Danio rerio: one gene and its partner. The protein of the gene in region 1 interacts with the protein of each later gene in a pairwise test. Links are inferred from orthologs where the notes say so. Each region holds a gene or a part of one and is shown in the gene's direction. Other genes may lie near its edges.

What was found.
Region 2: the proteins of ppp1cc (region 1) and cops5 interact in a two-hybrid assay, tested with the Homo sapiens proteins (2 studies listed by BioGRID and IntAct). The link is inferred for Danio rerio from reciprocal best matches to the Homo sapiens genes PPP1CC and COPS5.

The regions. Positions count from the first base shown.
Region 1 is NC_133180.1:2,464,220-2,467,982, forward strand, and holds the start of ppp1cc (serine/threonine-protein phosphatase PP1-gamma catalytic subunit A), read left to right. Parts: upstream 1-1,568; 5' UTR 1,569-1,750; coding exon 1,751-1,805; intron 1,806-3,763. UniProt on the Homo sapiens protein: Protein phosphatase that associates with over 200 regulatory proteins to form highly specific holoenzymes which dephosphorylate hundreds of biological targets.
Region 2 is NC_133199.1:27,640,401-27,643,515, forward strand, and holds part of cops5 (COP9 signalosome complex subunit 5), read left to right. Parts: coding exon 1-18; intron 19-133; coding exon 134-245; intron 246-3,115. UniProt on the Homo sapiens protein: Probable protease subunit of the COP9 signalosome complex (CSN), a complex involved in various cellular and developmental processes.

The DNA.
Region 1 (3,763 bases):
AGAAGACGGAGCTGTACAAGGCCTGGATAATCATCAACAAGCAGAACTACTGCATTCTCACAGCAAACTACACCTGTACAGCAGGTTATGTGAACACACATTTCATTCTAGGCATTCAGTGTCCGCAGTTTAATTAACCATATTGAACTGTTTTTGCTGCAATCAAAAACCAGTAACGTGTCTGATTCAGCATAGCGTGAACTCACCTGATATAACATGAGAACTGCAGAGTCCAGCATTTCTAATTAGGTCCTCACTCCATTCAGCTCCCTTATAGCTAAATATGTCTGCAGTTGGCATTAAAGCAGTGTGGTGTACGGTAAATGTTAAGCTGCATTTGAAAAGTTGGATTTGGCACCCTACCGCACAACTATTACTATTGACACCAGGAACCCCTGTGACGTAGGTTGATAATTTCTCTAAATATAGGCTTAAGTTTTTTAATTTAAAACAACTTTGAACAGATTCCTTATTTTATGATGGATAATAATAAATTAGCATTTGAAAAAATAAGTATTTTTTCGAATTTCTTAGTTCAAAATGTTTAATTTAAATTCTAATCTCATTACATTATTTGTAAAAAGTAATAGTGTAAATTTTAAATGCACAGTTGTAAATAAACACAATTTTTTGTTAATAGTATGGTAAGCACTTTGACAAAAATATAGGAAAATATTTGTTGCGTCAAAAAGTATTGTAATGATAACCATCCGACAAGCTAATCCAAAAATTTGTGCTTAAAATGTCAATGTATTTGATAAAAATGAGCCGAATAGCTGCAAAAAGTTCCACTTTTTGAGAACCCTTTTAATAGGCTGGCTACGGGCCTGCATTGCAATGCTGTAGTATTTTTAATACCTAAATTAGCATGAATTAAATGCATACTGAGTAAATACCTTACCACAAATGACAAAATATGTAATGGTATTGACAGTTGACAAAGGATGAGGTTAGTTAACATGAAAAGTAATGTCAAATACTATAAAACTAGTTTTTTTTTAATGCCAAAATCAGCATTAATTAATTTCTAATGCAAAAATACTACAAATTAAATAATATTTTTTTTACTATAATGAATGACAATTGACAAAAAAATGTGGTTAGTTAATATAAAAGGTCATGTCAAATACTGTAAAACTAGATTTTATGCCAAAATTAATAATTTTTTATTAGGTTATTATAATAAATAACAGTTGACAAGGCATCTGGTTAATTAACATAAACAGAACTGTCAAATAATGTAATACTAGTACATGTGTATACCCGAATCAGCATAAATTAAATGCATAATGCAATTTTTTCAAATGAAATAATATTTGTATTAGGTCTACTGTAATAACAGCATGCCAAAAGACGTTGTTGGTTAAAATAAATAATTATGTTAATGTGTAGGATATGTTTTAAACATGTGTTTTTAAAAGTTTTTCATTGCAATTAACATTCAACGTCACACGTTATTGTGAAAGTCAGCGGCACGCCCTCCTCTTTCCTCCGCACTACTTTTCTTCCTTTCCTTTGTGTTCATCCGCCCTCCCGTTTCCATCAGCGGTGAAACCGAGCCGAATTGCGTGTCCTTCCGCAGAGCCGGTGCGCCACCGCCGCAGCACGCGCGTCTAACGGGCCCGCTCGAGCATTTTAATCTTTTCTTTTAGAGTTTTGTGATTAACCAGTTTGTTTTTAATCGAAGTCGTTTTATCTGTCGTGTCTGGTGTGTTTTAAGCGGTGGTGTTTGTGTTTTTATCGGCTAGTCATGGCTGACATCGACAAACTCAACATAGACAGCATCATTCAGCGCCTGCTCGAGGGTGAGTTTCAAGCCAAGTGACAGCTAAAATGTACTTTTAATAACATAAGTAACTATATAATTGCCATAAGGGTTGTGTGTGTATATGTATATGCTTGATCTATCAACTCTGTCGTTTTTATGGATGTTACGTTAGCTGAGCTAGCGAGAGTTAGCTGCGCATTAGCTCTGCTCACTGACACAAACGGCTGTGTGTCAAATACAGAGTTTTCTACATAGACACTATACTGATATATTTGAAGATTATATATTATTGGTTGGTTTCGAATGGACAGTACTTTTGACTATAAAATACACTCTGTGTGGGCAGTTCACTGGTGTTTGTGACACTGCCAAGCTGTACGCGCGGTTTCGGTGCTTCAGTAAACACATTACGTTAGTACACTGACTAATGCTGATATTATGATATTGAATACATATTTGAGCATCAAAACAGCTGTTTATTAGTGTACCACAGTCATTAAAATTAACAACAGGGCTTGAAATGTCAAAAGTGTGATTTCTAGCGCTAGGAAAAACAATATTTTTGAGTTCAACCCAAATTTATACAATTTGAGGGTGTCATCTCTATAAAATGTTTATTAAAAATCCTTGCTTTAATTAGACATCTTAAAACCTTATTTAATGACTAACAATATGAAACTGTTGAAAATGAGAACTTTAAAACATGATAAACTCTTAATTCTGATTGAATATGAACACTGTATTTGCTTATATTATGACTTTAAACATGTATTATTATTACATGTAAATATATTTTTTAGGGGGGGAAGGACATCACATCCTGTACAACTGCAGGTTATACAGTGTTCATACAGTCATGGAAAACCTGGAAAAGTCATGGAATTTTTACATGGCATTTTCCAGGCCTGGAAAAGTTTTGGAAAAACAGAAAAACCTACACAGTTTTAGAAAAGTCATGACAAATACTTGAATATAGGCTTTTCTCTTATTTTCTGTCCTTGGCCAATCACATACTCTCATATTATTAGTGCGGTGTAAGCATTATCTAAATTAATTTTGCATGGATATAAATTGAAAGTAAATGGATTGTTGCATGTTTTATGCTATGCTCTAATAAATTTGAACATGCATTGCTTTTCTTTTACCACGCATATGTAGACATTGCATGAAACATTAGGTCATGAACATTTACATGAAAGTCTTGGCAAAATCATGAAATTTTAGTAGTAAAAATGTGTATGAGCCCAACTATGTTTACAACATTTTAGCTTTTTTTTGAATTGACTGTAATGAAATGTGCACCTTTTGTAAAGCTGCTTTGAAATGAATTATTGTGAAAAGCACTATACAAATAGATTTATATTTTATTATACAATGAATTGTATCTTTGCAAAATATAATTGCTTTCTGGAATGCATTATAAAAGCAGCAGGTGCAATAAAGGCAGAATGATTATGCAAGATTTTATAGTTTTATTGTATACAGTGAAGAAATGCATTTACATAACATTTCTCGCTTGTTTAATTTTTATATGCAACACAGTTCATATTGGCAGATATTATTATTTAGACTAACATTAAATGTATTATTAAGGTATGTATCCTTCATAAGCGGGTCTGACTTCAGATTTAGCACTGCAGCAGCTTTGACCCATTTTTACTTGTACTTTCTGCAGTAGTGATTTCAGCATCATACACATACTGATATGCATGTGCTTTTACTTTGTCCTCTTACACTGTAAAAAATATATTAGTGAACAGTTTCTCTATTTTGTGTGTTTTGGGTTTATTTGCGGTGGCAAATTGCATTATGCTATGTTGATCTCTCCTCTGTTGTATTTTTAACATCAAAAGTGCACAAAGTGACTTATTCACATTTTAGTCATTTGAAATAATAATATCATGTATAAAAATAATATCTAAAGAAATAAGTCTGTTAAAGAATAGAAAATGTTTGTTACAATGTTTTTGTAGCGTAATATACAACACCAACCAG
Region 2 (3,115 bases), on another chromosome or scaffold:
TGGAGTGCATTGCAAACAGTAAGTGTGCATGACATATTGAATATATTTCCTTTTTTTTAGCCTTTTTATGCACTTGTTATATTTTGAAAATATATTGACTTGCAGTTAACGATAAGCTGTTGTTTGTTTTTAGGTATTATGCATTAGAAGTGTCTTATTTTAAGTCTTCCCTGGACCGCAAACTCCTAGAGCTGCTGTGGAATAAGTATTGGGTCAACACTTTGAGCTCCTCAAGCCTACTGACAGTAAGCACACACTTTTATTGGTGTAAAATTAATATATATTACATTTAGATATGTGCCAACATCATCTGTCATGTTGGATTACTTAATATAAACGGCATAAATTTAAGTCTAGCCTTTTTTTTTTTTTGCTTGGAATTTGTTCTTAAATCAAAAAATGGCCTGAACCACTGTAAATTGTTACAAAAATATAAATACAAAAAATCCAAAATCTGAATTTCTGACCAGTTTCTAAAAACATCTACAGTAAATGTGATGAAGGGTGACAATATAGCTTTTATGAAGCAGGCATGCATGTATTCATTTCTATTATATAAGAGATTGCAAATACAATGAAAAATTGAGGAGCATAGAAAATCACTTTCAACCTTTTCCCTGTAAATTGTTTAAATTAAAGGGCTTCAGTTCTGAAAGCTACATTATGTTAATTTTAGTTTAAACATTATTATCTTTTCTGCTTGGCACAGAAAGGAAATTTGTCTTTTACACTGGTAACATAAATAAACCGTACAACAATAACATAATAGCAACACTCTTCAAGACAACCATATTAGCCCCATACATATTACTCCAGATTATTCTTAACAACCGCACCGTTCACATTAAACAGTGGTAAGGTTTAATACAACTGCAATAGGGATAAATGACTTCTTATAAGTATTTCTTCATGTTCCATGCATTTTAAGCTTGGTCCCGATGGTAACATTTCAAAAGCTGAGTGAAGGGGATCTGTATTATCTTTAAAAATCACAATTGCTGTTTTTCCCATAAAGGAGTCAAATAAAATCTGTAACGAATGTTGTATGTAAACTGTTTTTGCAATTAAACTGTCAGTTACATTTAGTCATTTAGCAGACACTTTCATCCAAAGCGACTTACAAATGAGGACAAGGAAGCAATTTACACAACTATAAGAGCAACAATGAATAAGTGCTGTAGGCAAGTTTCAGGTGTGTAAAGACAGTGTAAGAAGCAAAACATTAGTACAAGAAGCAAAACATTAGTACAATAATCTCTGCAAAATAAAGTTTTTACAAAGAAGAGAAAAGAATGATTTCAAAATCTGTTGTCCCCAAAAAAGCATTTCCAATGAGAAATTAACCCTCAAATTTTTGCCAAAATAAAGCAAAGTAAAAACAGCATAAATATAATTTTTTTCTCATTTTATAGTTCTATTATTAAGGCTGCATGATGTTGGACTAAAACTCATATTGCAATATTTAGTTTGTCTGCAATGTATATTGCGATAGTAACATACAGTGCTCAGCATATATATGTACACCCTTCACAAATCTGTCTTTTAAATTTTTAATAGGAAGCTTTACAATAATATATGTGTGCATAAACATTAGACTAGTCTGTACTGAAGTCAAATCTGGAGCTTGTCTAACAAAATAACTTACGATAACGGTCCAAAAACTAGTACAGTCAAATTCATATGTTATAAAAAATATTAAATACAAATTTTAAAACAGAAAAAAAAATTAAGTGAAACAAAAAAAAACTGAAAATTTTTGTTGAAATTTTGTAGGTAATAAATATAAATATTTTTTGCATTAATTTGCTTAAATTTAATTGTATTATCTTACAATTTGTAAACATGTTTGGTGACTAAAATATTCTTTTAATAAATATATCTGTTTTATAAATCTGTTTTGTTTAAATGCACCAAAATACATTGCCTATATTTACTGAGAAATGGATACAAATATTCAAAATGGGGTGTATTCAATTATGCTGAGCACTGTAAGTTCACAAGATGGCGTATAACTCCATTTGGAATGAATTCATGTTTTTACATTTTGTACAGTTTTACATTTTGTATTGAACAAATATAAATTCATGTGATGGTTTTCTGCGGAATCTAATAGTATTAAGGTATAGAAATTTTATAATAACAGATAAAATAACAATGTATAGTGTACAGTCTTCATAGTACAAGTAGTTAAATACAATTCATTTTGGTTTATATACCTTTATAACCTTTTGGTTTAGGTTTGCTTAAATCATACACAGTCACAGGTCTTAAAAATTCATCTAAATGAAAATATTACACTCTATTTTAGGGTGAAACTTTGCAATGACTCCACAAATCCCATGTTCAGAACTGTGATGCTGATCAACTACAAACTTGACATTGCATATCCTGCGATATGAATATTGCTGATTCACACATTGCAAAATTGATGTTGAAACAGTATATTGTGCAGCCCTATTATACATGCAATTGTATATTGTTATAATTCAATTATTTAATGATTATTATTATTATTATTATTATTATTATTATGAACTTAAAGATTAATTTAAGTAATTTCACAGTTTTCACTCAGCAGCCATTGGCTAGAGTGTAAAGTAGTTTTGGGCATTATATATAGAAAGAAAGAATGTATATATTAATAATAATAATAGAAATATTATACTTGTATTAATCTTTTTGTCACTTTGCTAATATTCCAAAATCATCTCTTCTTTCTCCTGTTAAGATATTCACATATTTATTATCCTGGAGCTTTGCATTCCTAACGGTTTAAGCATTTTAGGAGATTGCAAATATGGCAGGGGGGCTTGTTGACAACCTGTGCACATGATTAATATTTGTAGATGCTGCTTTTGTTTCCCTGCCTATTTGTTTTGAAAGCTTGTCATCGTCTTCTACGACATTCTGTCATGAGCTTTGTTTAAGGCTTTCGTTGAGCTGTGGACTATCTAAACAGCGGCCTCATGTGCTGCAGATAAATTGACTACTTGTCAAGAGCGACTTGCTTCTCCAAAGCAGAAGTGTTGTCAGCGATTACATCGTCACTATAGACCTTAAGTCATATCGAGTCTGTGTTTATTGCGACTCTTTGTTTCAGCTGTTTACAACCTCA